Linked DNA regions of Arabidopsis thaliana. The protein of the gene in region 2 interacts with the protein of the main gene of each other region in a biochemical or structural test. Each region holds a gene or a part of one and is shown on either strand. Other genes may lie near its edges. The genes, in order: VIT1, AP1 and SEU.

Region 1 (4,351 bases), on a different chromosome or scaffold from region 2:
GATTGTATTTGAAGAGATTAAGCGGTGAAGCTTCGCAGAGTAATGACTCTGAGTCTACCAAAAGATATGAAAACATTCAAGCTCTGGTTTCCTCAGGACAATTACATCCACAGACATTAGCTGCATTGTTTGGTCAACCAATAGACAATCATCACTCTGCTAGTTTTGGAGTTTGGATTCCTAATGACAATCTTGGTAGATCTCAAAATGAACACTTCTCGGTTGATGTATCATCCGCTTCTAACCGTCCTGTTTCTGTGGCGGTTCATGGTCTATCTTCCTCAGCAAATTTCAGACAGAGAGGTGACGTTAACAACAACAGAATCAGACAAGGGTATGGATCAAATGTCAATGAAGAATCTTGGATCTTGGAAAGATCTTCAAGACAAAGATAGTGACCAATATGGATACGCTTAAGAAGAGAAGGCTCTGCAACTGTTTCTTTTAAATCTTCAGGAATGGATTAATGTCAGAAGAAAACTTGTGTGTCTGCAATGTTAGCTTAGGAAAGTAATTATGTAACCAATATTTTGAATTGTTATCTCTCACTTTATTATGGTTGCCAAAAGTTTTAGCCTGATAATAACCACAAGACATGCAACAAACAAGTCTCAAAGTACACAAAACATCAAACGCAACACTAGTTTTGTTACTGCTAATGTTGCACAACTTTAGCCAAACAAAAAGCAGCAGCTGAAGCAATCGCTCCTATAAAGGCGGTTTCAAACGCACTTCTGAGGGGCTTGCTTCCAGTGAAATGCCCTTTTGCATAGCCAAATATGAAGAGCGCAAACAGAGTTATAACCACAGACGCCACTACCGCATCCATGGCATGCGGTATGAGCATGTAGGGAAGTAACGGTATAAAACCGCCAAGAACATAAGCGATTGCAATCGTGAACGCGCTTTGTAACGCTCTTTTTGGATCAGGCTTCTCTAATCCCAGCTCAAACCTGTAACGAAACAATAAAGTCTCACTTATATAACAAGTTACATGCTTATAGTAGGAATATAAACATTTTGTGATAGGTAAAGAGTGTTAAACTTAACCAAATCAATAAGATAAGTTTTTATATTCACGTAATTTGTTGTTTTCTGTTTGTTACTATTCACGTACTTTATTTGTTGCAACAAAAAAGATTAAAATTGGAAGTCGGACCATATAAGAATCTTGCCCACACCTGGAAAGTATAAGCTCAGCTTTTGCAGAAATCTAAAAGTATCCCTCGATTTTCTCTTTAATTAAGACTATATAATATACATAAAATAATACTAATGGACTATATAGTATACATAAAATAACACTAATTTTCATTAGTGAGACTAACCTCATCATAAAATCAAGCCAAGCTTGAGGATTCTTACGAAGAGCATTAACTACAGGTGAATATTCATGTGGCTCTATCCCGTACTGTGCCAGAATCTCTGCCACTTCAGCTGCCTCTGTTTTAAATCCATATCGTAATTAAAATGTGTTAAACCGGATAATTTTCTTATATATGGATGGCTTAGATTGAGTGTAATTTGGTCTTACCAGTTTCAGGAACGGCCACGATCTCTTCTTGTTCTCGTTTCATCTCCCTCGCGTAATGATCTTCTTCGCTCTTTGCCGCTAAATACCTAAATTTGTTATCCAGTTTTTAATCTTGCATTGAACTCATATAGTTATAACTCACTACTTTTCTTACAATATGATTACTCAAGAGACTAACTAAATATGAATTTTTTTTTTATTACATATGGATGCATGCATTGTATATGATCATGGTAACATGGTTGCATGATCTAGGACTATTTTTGTTTTGGTAAATTAGTCTAGGACTAATTTAAACCCAACAAAATTATGTGGGACTTACGTGTAAATTTAAACAAATTAGTATTCCATTGAACAACTTTTATACCACAACTTTATCATACGTTATTTATGTTAATGTGTAGTAGTAATTACACCACAAGTAGGAAATGAATCATCATTTGCATGTAGCCATTATTTCAAAACTATATAGAGAGTTTACGTGTCAATTAAAACGGAACTAGTAAAAAGAGAAGTACCCGCCGAGTCCCATGGAGATAGCACCGGCCGCGACTTCGGCGATTCCAGCGGTAAGGACTATAGAAGAAGAAGCATTGGCACCGGAGAGACCGGCGGCGAGGGCAAAAGGAACGGTTAAACCATCAGAGACGCCGATGATGATGTCACGTACGATTTCTCCGGCGGTGAAGTGTTTCTCGGTGTGATGATCGAGAAGTGTTTGCTTCTCCGGTTCGATAGAGATTCTTGTAATCTTATCTTCCTCCGACGACATTGTTGATGATCGATTCTCTTTCTCTCTCGTTTTTTTTCTTTCTCAAAGTTGTGAAGTGTGTGTGTGGGAACATGATATATATATATATATATATATATATATATATATATATATATATATATACGTAAAGAACGAGGGGAAACATATCATCACATCATATTAGTTATTTTGTAATTTGGTTTCAAATTTACTTAAAAAATTTTCCTATGAGTTTCATTTAAGTATAATATATATCATATTATTTAATTATTGATTTGTTACCATTATTTATAAGAAAGCCATAAAAGAAAACACTAAGCAATATGCCCACAAGTAGTTTCCATGAGTTTGCAATTAAAGTGTGTCAAATCCCTTACATATTAATTCAAACACATATTTTAAAGGAAAACCTTTATACTGTAAGTAAAAGTATTTAATCTTATAAATATTATTCCAAGTTATTTTCTAATATAATGAAGAGAAAGTAAATTGTATATTAATCAATTTTTAAATACGCTTTATTAATCAATTTTTAATTACGCTAAATCTAAGAGCATCCACATACCTTATACGTATCATTTTTTTTCCGTGTTCATGTTGAATTGAGCATCAAATTAAGTATCTTTAGAGTATTGGTGCTGTTATGCGCAAATTTCCAATAATCAAATTACGGATGAACAATATCATTATACCTACTCTAATGTTATTTTTCGCTTTTAATTAAACCATGTCTTTTTTTTTCCAACATGGAACCATCTCATATGAGTTAATTTTAACCGCGAGAAGTCTTGTGAGTTGTGACCTCATCTGTAAAACTTTATTCACCGATTAAGATCCTATATATGCTTTCCACACAAGTTCTATAAGACAAGGAGAAATAGGTTTGAGTTTTGAACTTTTTGATCAGAACTTCAGATAAAATTGAGCGTGTTTGCCACATGCTTTGCCCACGGCATGAAGCTGGCCATATGTATGCATTTTCTACGTGGACACGATAAATTTTCTGAAAATATAAAAGAAAGTTATATGAGAAAGCAACAAATCTTATATGAGTCTGCAAAAGAATAACGCATGAGAAAAAAGCTAATTTACATGAAGCCATATGCAACGCTCCAATTCACACACTTTCATGTTTTTCATCTTTAACTTCTGTGACCATTTATCAGATTATTAGAAACATTCAAAGTCTCATTTGACACATAACATATAACGAGAATGTTATATCATCAGCAAATTCCCAATGTTCACACGGTTACAAAATAGTTACAGTTGGGTAAATGTCATCTTCATTTTCTATATAATTAAGTATTAGATTGATCCATTTAAAAACTTTAGTTTAGCTAATTAAAATACAAAACCAAAAATATAATTAAGAAACTAATCTGATGTTTTATAATTTGATATAAGTACTTCCAAAAACTATCAACTAATTTGGTTGTTGATGTTTTCATTCTTGGAATAAGATAAGGAATTTTTTAAGATTAAAGTAAAAAATATTATTACTTTTGATATGTAATTAAATTAAATGCGTTGGACACTTTTTGGATACATAATTGGTTTTTTTTTTTTTTTGAAAACACATTATTGGGTTTCTATTAGTTAGTTTTGGATAAATATTATTACTGGTGCCAAGAACCAATCCATCTCTCTACTGTCTGGTTCCATGTCAAGCGCTGTAAAATTCCGGGAGGGCTTAGGTTCAATCTTGTGAAGATGCTGTCGTTGTAAGCCGTGAAACTGACCTCTTGTATGTCAGCTATGTAAATTTTATCACTTAGAAAAGTTTTATCCATTAGACTCTGTTCTTTTTGGTCATCCAAGGGGCCTGGTGGTACTAGAAGATCTTCATACATTTTGGTGGTATTCAGAAAGAGGTTAATAGAAGAACCAGTCCCGTACAGTCGGCCCTCATAGTTAGAAACGAAAAGCTCAGGGAAGCTTGAGGCAACATATTCCTCTCCTCATCTTTTAGGTTCGAGGTTTAGCGTGTAACTCGATTTGGACGGATTATCAGGGGTTTCCCACGCCACCAAATATTGATTGACGCCCCAATGAAAATTCCAACC
Region 2 (6,481 bases):
AAGACCAAACAATATAATTACCAAAATGTTTAATACAGAAATTGTTTTCTAAAAAAATTAGCAGGAATACAACGAAGAGAAGATAATGTGAGAGTTACGCTTACCACAACGTGCCTTTTCTTGAGTTTAGCAACATTTTACTGAATGTAGATGAAGAGAAGATAATGTGAGAGTTACGCTTACCACAACGTGCCTTTCTGGTGGTGATATATCTTAAGAACCTTAGTGGGCATTTTCACTGGTCCCTTTACTGTAAGTCTCGTGTCCTTAGCTCCATGAAACAAGTCAATACACACTAATTATTCGATCACTAATCAAACAAATGTATCAGAGAGACTACCAGGGTGTTACATTACAGATCCTCATCCATTCGGAGGCACTGTTATTATTGCCTATCTTATCTAATTAGAAGCAAATTCTGGGCCTTTATAGGCCAACATCCTTCCTTGATTCTAATTGGGTTCTATTCCGATTAATACGGCCCAACCACTCAAGTTCGCTTGTTGTAAACTTGAAATAATAAGAAATTTTGCCACTCCTAACTTAATGCAACAAAAAAAAAAAAAGGTCCGATCTATTAAGTTCACGTTCATTCTCTCTGACCTTCAAATATATTACAATTTTGCTCCATATTGAAGCAAATAAACTTATCAAATTACAAAAGAAGAAAGGAGCCTGCTAATTTATATATGATGATATAAGAACATCGAACATTTGCCAAAATATATTAATTGGATGAAAAGAGCCTAGCCACTATTTATATGTATGTGGCAAACTGTTTTTATTGTTGACGATTACAAATATATATATGGAAATGCTTCATGCGGCGAAGCAGCCAAGGTTGCAGTTGTAAACGGGTTCAAGAGTCAGTTCGAGATCATTCCTCCTCATTGCCATAGGATCATCTTCTTGATACAGACCACTGCATTCACAATCATACATAGGATATATATGAAAGTGCATATGTAATCATATGTTTCACCGTACAACAAAGGAAAATCAAATATCAGTCCATTGTGAAATGTCAAAGATATATTAATTTCATTTATCTAACAAACTAAAATTGTACTTAAACACATAGACCAACAACAACAAAAAGTCGACTTAGGCTTTTCGCAACCATTCCATGTACATTTTCCACACTAATAAGTTTGTTCGTTTGGCGACCATTGCATTAACCTACGTTAATAAAATAATGTTTTAAAATAAAGTTTTCTAGTTTCAAAATCATGACATCATGTAACCATCACTAACAGCTATAACTTCAATGAAATTACAACACCTAACGTAACTAGCTTGCATAACATATGTGCTTTAAATTAAGACTGATTAGTAATTTTTTGTTACCCCATGTTGAGAAAAGGAGATGGCTGATGAGAGAGCATGTAAGGATGCTGGATTTGGTGCTGCTGCGGTGGCAGAGGGGGAGGCATATTGTGGCCTTGGTTCTGCTGATCCCACTGCTCCTGTTGAGCCCTAAGAATTTTTTCCCTCTCCTTGATCTGCCAGCAAATTTATTTCAAACCATATTATCATCATCAATTTTCAAAGTGAAGAAACTATATATATGCAATGGTTACAAATAGTTATTTTCACAGTTGCACTCATGCAATGAACTATTATAACATTTTTATAATTAGGAGTAGTGTCTATATTCATATACATAGATATGAGCTAAGTAGAATGATGGGACAACATTTCAAAGTTTCAAATATTTTCAATCCGAGAGACAACCTTAAAACTAAACGGACAAACCATATCTACGTACAGGCTGGTGATTATATCAATCAATAGACAACATCTATGCTATTTCAAACAATTTGCAAAGATTTTCTATTTTTATTTAATGGTGCCGAAGTTAAGTGGAGATATGAAGATATCGTAGGTATAGCTTGGCTGGAAGTGTGGAGCAGAACAGTGGAAGGTAACAGTAATGCAATGGACAACATGTTGATGAAAGAGAAATGATGACATGTGTTACCTGTTTAGAAAGCATGCTGTTTTGCTCCTGTATGGCCTTCTCCTGTCATTTCCGAAACGGCACGATTGTTAATTAGCTTTCCTATACGTTTCTCTATAAGACATACATTTGATAGGGGTTTTACATACCTTTTTTTGGAGCTCATTGATGGACTCGTACATAAGTTGGTTCTGCATACACACACATCAACATTAACAACCCATTACTTTAAGTAATATGAGTCTTAAAATACACAACATAACTCATACATTCGAACCAACCTATAGACATATCAAATTGATATTGATTACTGATATATATATTGATACATACACATATGTATTTCAATGTTCACATTATAATAACACTTGTAAACGTTTAAGTTATATAGATATGTTCAACGAAATAGCAGAAGGCAATACTTTTCTAGTGCGGATGTGCTTAAGAGCAGTGTCAAGCTGCTGCTCCAGATTCTGAAGCTCTTTAGGGCTCATTGCTTGCAAGTCTTCCCCAAGATAATGCCTGAATTTCAATAGCATCAATGAATTTTAACTTACTTTAAAATGGAACCCGATCGATTTCCTAGATAGAAATGTGATGAGTGTAAATGTGTACCTCTGGTTTCTCTCCAAAAGCTCAATCTTAGCCTTAAGCCTGTTATACTCCATCGACCAGTTTGTCTGTGTACCAGAAGTTTTATACAAATAAAATTCATCAATACTACAAATAGATTGATATAATATATATGTGGATTAAAAGGAGAAATATTTATTGAAATACATTGACGTCGGACTCAGGTGCAATAAGCTGTCTTTCGGCGTAAGAGTACCTCTCATAGCGTTCAAGTATCTTCTCCATACTGATCATTTCACAGAATTAGGGTTAGCTTTATCATCAACCAATTATCATTTTATTATATAAATAATATGGAGATGTAACCAAAATATCATCACATTTTAGGATAAATCTAATGATGGTTTTATGCAATTAAACCAAGATTTCCTATAACAAATCAAGTACCGATCTCTATGATACCTTTATAATAACAAAACAGTATGAATCATAGACCCTATGCTCTTAGCTTCGAGTTCTAACTGCGGTTTCTTTAATTTTGCTACAATTAGGTACAGAAAATCTTCTTAGATGCGACACATTATAATAAATTATTATAATCTTGCCAATTTACCAATCTTATTTTTTTTCAGAACAAGGACAATGCTTAAAAAAAAAAAGAAAAAAAAAAAAAGAAGAACAGCTGTTGCTTGTTGGAGCTAAGTTTGACCATCGGTAAGAAGCCGATTTTAGGATGGAGTTAATTCTTTTTATGGATCCCCAGAGGTCAAAGACTCCCTACTCAGATTTGACATCTTTGTTTCAGTTTTAATTTCTAAAGTCAAATAGAAAAAGAAGCAACACTAGTTCAAATTTAATACTATATAGTGTTTTATATTACGAGTTCATAATCTTAAGATCCGAGTTTAAACATTTTCTTTGCTTAGATTTGCAAAACATGAAGACACAGTCGTGAGAACAAATTAGATATTCTTTTACAGCTGAAAAAAAACAACTCGTAAGTTAAATATTCTTTCTAATAAAAAATTCTCAATTTGACATTATTATCTATATCTATTTTAATTTATTTTCTCGTCCCATAATATTTTTTAATTATAATCCAGTTGCAACTTATATATGAAAAAAGAAACGACACTTCATTTAAAACTCGAACTCAGTGAGCGAGTGAAAACTACAGATCTTATTTTCTTACTATGGCATCAATTAGAGCTTAGATCTGCAAATTCGAAAGACATGGCTATTGGAGAACAAAAGAATTCATTATGAGTTAGGGATCAAAACCCTAGTTCAAAGATTAAACATACACCCTTCTATATGCTCTTGAGTTTGAAGATATGATGCTGATAAATATTGCACAATATATCAAGGTAATTACTATGGTATAATTAGTGTGTTCTAGGGTTCACTTCACTACGGCCCTAAAGTTTTGATTTTTAAATTATACAAATTTGTATTAAACATTTTTCTGGCTAATCAAAAAATCCAAAAATGGAAGCCCTAGAAAATATATAAACAAAAGCAGTAGTGAATAATTAGGGCAAATCAAGTAGTCAACTTAAGGGGGAAAAAACTATATAAAGTAGCAGATTAAAAGATTTTTTTAAAAGTAAAGAATTAGTTGAAGTTACCAAGAATCAGTGGAGTATTCGAAGAGTTTTCCCTTATGGGAGAAGACAACAAGAGCAACTTCAGCATCACAGAGAACAGAGATCTCATGAGCTTTCTTCAAAAGACCAGCTCTTCTTTTCGAGAATGTCACTTGTCTATTGATCTTGTTCTCTATCCTCTTCAATTGAACCCTACCCCTTCCCATTTTTGATCCTTTTTTAAGAAACTTCTTACTCTAAAAGAACCAAACAAAACAAAGACCCCCAATAAGAAACTACAAGAGAGATATAAAGAAGAGCTCAGACTTTGGTATGAACCAATTAGGAAAGTTTTTCTTTCTTTCCTTTATAAAAAGACTTGTGTTTGAGTCTCGGGATCTTTATTTATGGAGAGATTTGGGTAAGAGTGGTTTTAGGGAAAAGCTAAAGCTGGTTTCTCTTGTTTGCAAAAACCACAGTGGTTTCTTTAGGATTTGCGTGTCGACTTCTCATTGGTATATCTCGTACTAATGTCGGGTCCATGATTTTTTAATAAAACTGCGGACTTAAAAATATGAAAATAAACAATTTGATTATCGACGTCTCGTGAAGAGAAATGGGTAAGTAACATTGTACGGACCACTGGTCCTTCCCCAAGTGTCACCTTCGCTTTGCATTGACGGCGGAGATTTCCCTGTAGATCTACGAAACAAAATCTGAACCAACCAAAATATCTATTTTTAATTTCCTTTTATTAACATTTCTCTATTACCCTATTTTACACTATTCTTTTGGAATAAGGTGAGAACCCTTTGTTTTATCAAATTTGCTTATTATATTTAATGTTCTCAGCTGTAACAGTGAAGTACAAATAGACCTTTCTTTTGGCAATAGATGTTTTTGGTAGAGCTGAGAACCAATTGACAACTGTGTAATGTATTGCGTCGACGGATTTGTACGCAGGATTTAAGGAAAGAGAGGAAGATCGAGAAGAATAATTGTAAGTATTCAAAATTTCAAACCCAAAAATAGTATTTTGTCAAAGATTTGTTCAATGTTGTGTGTTCTTATTAAGTTGTAGATGATCAGGACAAAAATCAGTTGAATATGTGCTATGTTGTTAATCAAACATACATATATTTTTTTTCGTCAATCAAACATATTTAGTTTGTACGTTATATCCATATATATTGTTAAATAAAACAACCATATATATACAATTTGATGTCAATCATATAATGAAATAAACCACATAAAAACCTTTGCTCAATTTGCTTAATCACTTCTTTTACAATGAATTTCCGTTGTAATAGTTTTCTCTTTTGAGATCTTCAAGTGTGAAAAAACCCCTTATTTTCAGTCAATATCCAATAACAAAAAAAAAAAAAACAGATTCGGCATTTGCTTAAGGCATATATTGCATAAGCCTTAGAGAAAACAATATAATTAAGTGAAAGTTGGACCACGTTTCAAATTTCTTTGTTAGTCAAGTGTTCCTGTTTTAGTTGATTACTTTAAATATCTCAGGTTTGAGGACTAATTGATTTTTCTTGTTAAAAAATTTCTTTCTGTTTTTTCCATTTCTTCTCTTATTTGGTGTTTTCCACGTGTCTTCTTCCTTATTTGATTTACTTTGTAATTTATAAATATTTGGACATCTTTTAGCAACTATTGCTTACGGTATTATTGTTTCATCAAAACAACAATTATACTAATTTTAGAAAAATAAATTAGACCATGTAAAAAGAAAAAATTGTAATATAGTAAAATCTATTTAAGTTAAAGTTCATTTTTAGTTATATATTTCTTCTATGCCAAATGAACCTATGCTAAAAAGATGTCACTTGCATTTTAATCCAACTTTATGTATTTTCTTCATAGAAGTTATATTAAATCTGGTATGGTATGACATATATACTTGAAATGGTCGTGGTTATATAACCAAATTTAAACATGTACGTCCTGAGTTTTGAAACGATACATAAGTTAAAAGATAGTGTATAGAGAAATCAGTCTAAAGATAGTATACTATATATATGTATGATATGTATATGGAGATCATGAGCAAAAGTAGTAAGCAACAAAAGGAAAAGTAGAAACTTAACAAATTGAGCAAAACTAAAAGAATCTAAGCTCGTGGCCTTGAAGACAACATCCCAAGAATATCCATTATCTTCGCCTTTGTTACATCTCCACCCTTCTTTTCTTCCCATTAAATATCCCTTTTTACTCTCTTTCAGTTTATTATTCGATGTAGCATACATATTTTATATACAATATCTCGATCCACTAAGATACGGTTACATCTCCACCATTAGCTTCCAAATACTAAAATAATTAATTACTTCTAATTAGAAGGACG
Region 3 (7,510 bases), 9.4 Mb from region 2:
ATAAGTGTTCGTAATACTGTAAGAATATGTGAGATTTTCTAGTTTAAGATTGGAAATATCTAAGTGTTGGGTGAAAATCACAAGAGGAATTATTGTATTAGATTGTGATAATAAGTGGAATTATTAATTTGCATTTGACATGATATATGGATATAAATTGTAAGACGACAGATTTTTTAAAAAGTTATTCTAATCAAACAAGTCACCTTCAATAACAATTGATTAGAACATACCGCGTCATATAGTAAAAAACCTTTAAATCATATGTTAACATTCTCTTCTTCTATAAAGTAACATCAAATAGTTACTACAATGAGATATACAACAATCAAGTATGGTATTTAGGGTTTAACGTAAGATTTGAGAGATATGATTTATGCAATGACATCCAAATTTGATAGATATTGAGAAGATATAGAAAAAGCCAATAAAATATTGATAGTGGCTAAAATATTTGATCATTTTCATATAATGATATTTGCATTGTTTAGCTTTAAACTTATACGTGGATAAGGTAATCTAAAGTGTGAGAAATAATAATTTGCTGATAAATATTTTGTAGAGATAATTTGAGTATAGTGTTTGATAGACCAGTTTAAGTCTACAATCTTCTTTCTGTAAATGAGTTGGAAACATATCAAAAAGACGAGTCAGATATACTCAACCATGTTTTAAGGTAGTAAAAATAAATAGATCAAAATATTCAACCATGTTTCCAATGGCAGGAGAAGTTCTTGCAATACCAATATCTTTGGCTATATATGAGTCTGTTTTTTTAACCATTAGTGATTGTAATTTAAATCAATATAAAAGCTATTTGGTTTGTGGTGTTGTTAAACCGGGTGAAGCACTCTCTCAACTCTTTATACATATTTTTTCTTTTTGTTGACTAATAAATTTAACATTTTAACACACAAAAAAATGCTTTTGACTTAAAATTGGTTACATGCATTATTAGGTTCAGAAAAAATGAGGTATTTAAGATTTATATTCAGCAATGGTTCATATATATGCTCTCATGTCTGATTTTTTCTTTTAAATATATTTATGTTAGAAAATGATCTGCAACACATCAGACTAAAAAACTGAATTATTTTTTTTATATATTTTCTAATATTAATAGAAAACGGTTTATTAAACAAATGAATATGCAAATACTCTAAACCGTGAGAATTCCTTGTGGAGTTTCATTTGTATATAATATTTATTTTCTTTGCTTTATAACTTTAAAATACCATCATGATTATTATAGTTCAGCTTCTATGTAATGAAACCATGTAGACAATAAAATAAAGAAAATAAGAAGCAGTTTTTATTATCTAAAAAGCGTAGACAAAAATAATTAAGAAAACTTGAACAAAAGAAAAAAGATAGAAAGTTGAGACGAAAAAGAATATATAAGGGGAATGGGAAAAAAAAATCATCTAAGCAAGGGATGAAGATCAAACTCGAGTTGTTTAATCTCATACATAAATCCGCTTTCAAATTAATTTTATGTTGTCGTTCCATAATTATATTTTTTCTTAAAAATAGTCTTGTTTTCCATTCTCTCTCTCAAACCAAATTTACACATTTAAATAAACTTTAAACAGAAAAACCACTATTAATGTAGTAATATATTAAATATTGATATATTTCTATATCAAATTTAAAACTAAAACCAAAAAAAGAAAGAAAAATTTCTATATCAAATTTAGAACTAAAAACAAATAAAAATAGTGTCATTTCCATTATGTTCTTTTAAACCAAACTTTACATTCTAAGAAAAAACACTATTGATGTGTATATTAAACTTTTGATATCTTTCTAAATCAAACTTTTCTTAAGGTATTTAAAAGTGATAGTATTCTGAATGGAAAAATAACAATTTAACACTAAAACCAATAAAATAAAGAGAAAAATGTTTGTGGCTAACAAAAAAAAAAAATCCAGATTGTGATTACAAAAAAAAAACATTTCTAGGGCATGTCATTGACTTCCTTTGAAGAAGAAGAAGAAGAGAGAGAGAGACTGAAAAAGAAAAAGTAAGAAAGGGAATGAAATAAATCCGATCGAATACAATTTTGACGTCCGCAAGGACACTATTCTCTCTCTTCTCATCTTCTTCTTTCTCTCTTCTCTCTCTCTCTCTACAGCGAAGAACAGGACACAAATTACTCTGTGAAGCTTAAAAAGGTATAATTTTTAATAAAACCCAGAAACTACAATTTCTAGGCGGCAGAGAAAATTTGTTTCTACTTCTTTTTGTTTCTCTTTGTCTTCTCGTCTCTTTATCCCCAAACCCATCAATAAAAAACCCTAAAAGACTTCAAATTTCTTCAAGATTTTGTTCATCGGAAGTTTTCAGATTTTTAGTTGTGTAAAGTCTCTTCCTTTTTGTTCGATTCTCTTTGTTTTGAGTCTTATCAGAGACTTATTCTTCAATTCCACCTCTGGGTAAGTTTCTATAGATTCTCACTAGTAATCTCTGTTTTTTTTCTCAATTAGGGTTTGATCAAAGTTTCGTTTTTTTCTTTCTGGGTTTGTTCTTAACATTATGCTTTTGTTTTGTTAAGGTGGTGAGAGTTGGAAATGGAGTAGATTTGCTTAATTTAGATCTGTAAGTAATCAACAGACAGTGTTGTTTGGTTCTAGAATGTTCGATACGGAATCTCATCACTCAGATTCATCTCTTTCCGTGGTGTTTACGACTCTGAAGCTTATCATTGCTCAGAAAGAATACGTCTTTGCTCCTACACAGAGCTGAGTTTTATAAAGTCGTCAGTTTTGTTTCTTGCTTTCTTTGTTGATTGTGGAGTTGTGAATTAGTAAGAGTATGGTACCATCAGAGCCGCCTAATCCTGTTGGGGGTGGTGAAAATGTTCCGCCTTCGATATTAGGAGGACAAGGAGGAGCTCCTCTTCCTTCTCAACCAGCATTTCCTTCACTTGTCTCTCCGCGTACTCAGTTTGGTAACAATATGAGTATGAGTATGCTTGGGAATGCTCCAAATATATCTTCTCTTCTCAATAATCAGTCTTTTGTAAATGGTATCCCTGGTTCTATGATTTCTATGGATACAAGTGGTGCTGAGTCTGACCCGATGTCTAACGTCGGGTTTAGTGGTTTGTCGTCTTTTAATGCGTCGAGTATGGTGTCTCCGCGCTCATCAGGTCAAGTTCAGGGTCAGCAGTTTTCGAATGTTTCGGCTAACCAGTTGTTGGCTGAGCAACAACGGAATAAGAAAATGGAGACGCAGAGTTTTCAACATGGTCAGCAGCAGTCAATGCAGCAGCAGTTTTCGACAGTGCGTGGTGGTGGATTAGCAGGTGTGGGACCTGTTAAGATGGAGCCTGGTCAGGTTTCGAATGATCAGCAGCATGGTCAAGTACAACAGCAGCAACAGAAAATGTTGAGAAACCTAGGGTCAGTTAAGTTGGAACCGCAGCAAATTCAGGCCATGAGAAATTTGGCCCAAGTGAAAATGGAACCTCAACATTCTGAGCAGTCATTGTTTCTCCAACAACAGCAGAGGCAACAACAGCAACAACAACAACAACAATTTCTTCAAATGCCGGGGCAATCTCCGCAGGCTCAAATGAACATATTTCAGCAGCAGAGACTTATGCAACTTCAACAACAGCAACTCTTGAAATCTATGCCTCAACAGCGTCCTCAATTACCACAGCAGTTCCAACAGCAGAATTTACCTCTAAGGCCACCTCTGAAACCAGTGTATGAACCTGGCATGGGTGCTCAGCGTCTTACACAGTATATGTACAGACAACAACATAGGCCTGAAGTAAAGCTTCTTACCATAAATTTAACTTCTTTCAGCCTATGGCTTTTCTTCATAATTGACATTTGTGCTTGCTATTAAATGCAGGACAATAATATCGAGTTCTGGAGAAAATTTGTAGCTGAGTACTTTGCTCCTAATGCCAAAAAGAGATGGTGCGTCTCTATGTATGGCAGTGGCAGGCAAACAACAGGCGTTTTCCCTCAGGTTGGTTTACTGCTCAATGAACTTATCTTGTTTGTAATACAATTGTAAAGGAGCTTGTCTTTTGCACCTGAGCCAGTTATTCTGGATAAATTACGTACTTGTTTCATGTTATACCTCTTTACATGAGTATTTTTATTCCACAAACATTGCAGGATGTGTGGCACTGTGAGATATGTAACCGAAAGCCTGGACGTGGTTTTGGTATGTTATTTAGATGATCAGTGCAGACAATTTCCTGTACATCTTATCAAATATTCCTTCCTTACTGCTTTGTCTCTTTCATTGTTTAGAGGCAACCGCCGAAGTCCTTCCGCGGCTGTTTAAGATTAAGTATGAGAGTGGGACGTTAGAAGAACTGTTATATGTAGATATGCCAAGGGAGTCCCAGAATTCATCTGGCCAAATTGTCCTGGAGTATGCAAAAGCAACACAAGAGAGTGTCTTTGAGCATCTTCGGGTTGTTCGTGATGGCCAACTTCGAATAGTCTTCTCGCCAGATCTTAAGGTTCTTCAAGCTACTCTATCTTTCGCAGCAAATTATTATACTATTACTTTCTCTCCAAGCCCTTTATTCTTGTAAGTTCCTTCTCAGATATTCTCCTGGGAATTTTGTGCTCGGCGGCATGAAGAGCTTATTCCACGAAGACTTTTGATACCGCAGGTAACTTCCAGAAAGATTCACCATATTGCTCTGACATATAGTTATTTTGGAGATGCGGCCTTTCCTTTTGTCACAAAATTGGATATGCTGTCTTAATATTATTCTAGTCTGCTTTTCTTTGCGAAATCGTCACTTTACCTTTCATCTTTTGTGGTTTCCAAATTTCAATAGGAGTAGAATATTACACATCTAAATCAGTGAAAACAGCTTAGGTAAATTAGCTATTTTTGTATTCACATACAGGTTAGTCAGCTTGGATCGGCAGCTCAGAAATATCAACAAGCTGCTCAAAATGCAACAACAGATTCTGCTCTTCCGGAGCTACAAAATAATTGCAATATGTAAACTTCCTCTCTTTCGCTGTGAAATTGATGTAACAAATCCTGTTATTCGACTTTTGATTGGTGATCTCTGATGTGCTGCAACTGGTCTGCAGGTTTGTTGCATCTGCTAGACAATTGGCAAAGGCCCTGGAAGTACCACTTGTGAATGATTTGGGATACACAAAGAGATATGTTCGGTGTTTGCAGGTAAATAACTAATGTCTCAATATGGATCAAGTGAACTCTACAATCTTGCTTAAAACTTAAGATTCTTGCCATCAATGAAAATGCAGCTTTGAAAAGGATAATACATAAAAATGAAATAAACTTAATCAATCTTTGTATTTAGTCTGTCCCTGTGACCATGTTTGCCAATGCACATTGATATTTTGCAATATTGTAGATCTCAGAGGTGGTAAATAGTATGAAGGACCTGATAGATTATAGCAGAGAAACACGAACAGGACCAATCGGTAAGTTTATGTGACCACCTTTTAATGCATTTGGTATTTTTAATCTTGAAGCACCTACTCTTTTCGTTCATGTATTATATCAGAACTTCATTGTACATATTCTCCGGTGATTTGACTGATGTCATGTTTTCTTTCTTTGGTACAGAGAGTTTAGCCAAGTTTCCTCGGAGAACAGGCCCTTCATCTGCACTGCCTGGTCCTTCTCCTCAGCAAGCCAGCGACCAGCTTAGGCAGCAGCAGCAACAACAACAGCAGCAGCAGCAACAGCAACAACAACAACAACAACAACAGCAGCAGCAGCAAACAGTTTCCCAGAATACAAACAGTGATCAAAGTAGTAGGCAAGTTGCACTAATGCAGGGTAATCCAAGCAATGGTGTAAATTATGCCTTTAATGCAGCCTCTGCATCCACTTCCACCAGCAGCATCGCAGGGCTCATCCACCAGAATTCAATGAAGGGAAGACATCAGAATGCTGCTTACAATCCTCCAAACAGCCCCTATGGAGGAAACTCTGTTCAGATGCAATCACCTAGTTCCTCGGGTACCATGGTGCCATCATCATCGCAGCAACAACACAACCTGCCAACATTTCAGTCTCCAACATCCTCATCTAATAACAATAATCCCTCTCAAAACGGGATACCATCTGTTAATCACATGGGTTCCACAAACTCACCAGCAATGCAACAGGCAGGTGAGGTTGATGGAAACGAGTCTAGCTCGGTGCAGAAGATACTGAATGAAATCCTGATGAACAACCAAGCTCATAATAATAGCTCAGGAGGAAGCATGGTTGGGCATGGGTCTTTCGGGAATGATGGGAAGGGTCAAGCTAATGTAAATAGTTCTGGTGTTTTACTGATGAATGGCCAAGTGAACAACAACAACAACACAAATATTGGAGGTGCTGGTGGGTTTGGTGGTGGGATTGGTCAATCCATGGCAGCAAACGGAATCAATAATATAAACGGTAACAATAGTCTCATGAACGGAAGAGTTGGGATGATGGTGCGGGATCCAAACGGTCAACAGGATTTAGGAAACCAACTTTTAGGAGCAGTGAATGGTTTCAACAATTTTGATTGGAACGCGTGAAATGAAGAAGAGGAAGAAGAGACACTGAAAGGGTAATGTTCTGCTTGCGCAGCATCACACATCTTCAAACTCAGGATAAGGATAGGCCAATAAGCCGTGATATTGTGCTTAAGAAAGGAAGAGTCAAATCTTTGTATCAATAACTGGTTTCTAGGTCACCTCCACAATCACCAATACCATCTCTTGAGTTACTGTTTCTTTTTTTACTTTGGGGAGTTTTTCTTATGCTTTATAGTTTATAATGTACATCTTTCTATCGGTGTGTGTTCCTTAGGGCACATCATCAGGGAGGCAATGAATCAAGCTCTATCCTTCATTTATCTCTCTGGTCTCTTCCATGTGTTAACCAAACTTCCCTAAATTCTGACCACAACGTTAAATATGTGCAATGCTCTTGAACGATGCTGATCGGTCATGATTTTTTGTTGTTAGTGCAATGAAATACCACAAGCCGTACGATGTCTATTGTTTGGTCACAGTTATTAATCAAATACCAAATATCCAAGCTTGTCTCTTAAACACAAGTTTTTACTCTTAAAGTTTGCGCAAAATTTCATTCCACAAGTTTTGTGTATTCATACTCACATATGACTACGAGATTTAACACATTGACAAAATTAAAAGCACAAAAGGAGAAAATTGTAGTTTCAGAAAGAGTAGTCTTTCAAATCTGCTCTAGAGTCGTCCATGTCAATCTCAGACATGCATTCGTCAGCACTAATAGGAGGGAGTTTCCGAGTCTTACGCTTAAGGTTGTGTTTGTGCCAATCACTCTTACAGTGCTCTCTGTATTGCTTAGCCTCTCCAACGAACGTGTTGCAAGTGCTGCACTTGGTCCCCTTCTTTTCTTCTCCACCTTCTTGCTTTATGTTATCTGTAGTACTTATCTCTTGCTTCTGCAGTTTCTTGCTAAGTTCAACGACGGGATCGGTCAAATCCTTAGTCTCAGTCTCAGCAGGTAACAACGGCT

What was found.
Region 1: the proteins of AP1 (region 2) and VIT1 interact in a test that uses a peptide from one of them, tested with the Arabidopsis thaliana proteins (one study listed by BioGRID).
Region 3: the proteins of AP1 (region 2) and SEU form a complex in vitro, tested with the Arabidopsis thaliana proteins (one study listed by BioGRID).

What each region holds. Positions count from the first base shown.
Region 1 is NC_003071.7:334,120-338,470, forward strand, and holds VIT1 (vacuolar iron transporter 1), read right to left. Parts: upstream 2,344-4,351; 5' UTR 2,307-2,343; coding exon 2,053-2,306; intron 1,621-2,052; coding exon 1,535-1,620; intron 1,444-1,534; coding exon 1,329-1,443; intron 954-1,328; coding exon 656-953; 3' UTR 544-655; downstream 1-543. Other genes in the region: RR14 (response regulator 14), read left to right, coding at 1-395; AT2G01780 (Curculin-like (mannose-binding) lectin family protein), read right to left, coding at 3,905-4,110, 4,174-4,245, 4,279-4,351. UniProt on the Arabidopsis thaliana protein: Vacuolar iron transporter involved in the transfer of iron ions from the cytosol to the vacuole for intracellular iron storage. Involved in regulation of cellular iron homeostasis. Vacuolar iron storage is required for seed embryo and seedling development.
Region 2 is NC_003070.9:25,981,757-25,988,237, forward strand, and holds AP1 (K-box region and MADS-box transcription factor family protein), read right to left. Parts: upstream 4,594-6,481; 5' UTR 4,347-4,593; coding exon 4,162-4,346; intron 3,182-4,161; exon of another isoform or gene 2,996-3,181; intron 2,820-2,995; coding exon 2,741-2,819; intron 2,641-2,740; coding exon 2,576-2,640; intron 2,483-2,575; coding exon 2,383-2,482; intron 2,152-2,382; coding exon 2,110-2,151; intron 2,024-2,109; coding exon 1,982-2,023; intron 1,503-1,981; coding exon 1,348-1,502; intron 1,180-1,347; coding exon of another isoform or gene 1,143-1,179; exon of another isoform or gene 923-1,142; coding exon 820-922; 3' UTR 538-819; downstream 1-537. UniProt on the Arabidopsis thaliana protein: Transcription factor that promotes early floral meristem identity in synergy with LEAFY. Is required subsequently for the transition of an inflorescence meristem into a floral meristem. Is indispensable for normal development of sepals and petals in flowers.
Region 3 is NC_003070.9:16,615,057-16,622,566, forward strand, and holds SEU (SEUSS transcriptional co-regulator), read left to right. Parts: upstream 1-1,931; 5' UTR 1,932-2,436; intron 2,437-2,555; 5' UTR 2,556-2,815; coding exon 2,816-3,781; intron 3,782-3,865; coding exon 3,866-3,985; intron 3,986-4,137; coding exon 4,138-4,186; intron 4,187-4,275; coding exon 4,276-4,490; intron 4,491-4,577; coding exon 4,578-4,646; intron 4,647-4,889; coding exon 4,890-4,987; intron 4,988-5,082; coding exon 5,083-5,176; intron 5,177-5,372; coding exon 5,373-5,442; intron 5,443-5,587; coding exon 5,588-6,540; 3' UTR 6,541-6,993; downstream 6,994-7,510. Other genes in the region: AT1G43860 (sequence-specific DNA binding transcription factor), read right to left, coding at 7,188-7,510. UniProt on the Arabidopsis thaliana protein: DNA-binding adapter subunit of the SEU-LUG transcriptional corepressor of the C class floral homeotic gene AGAMOUS during the early stages of floral meristem development.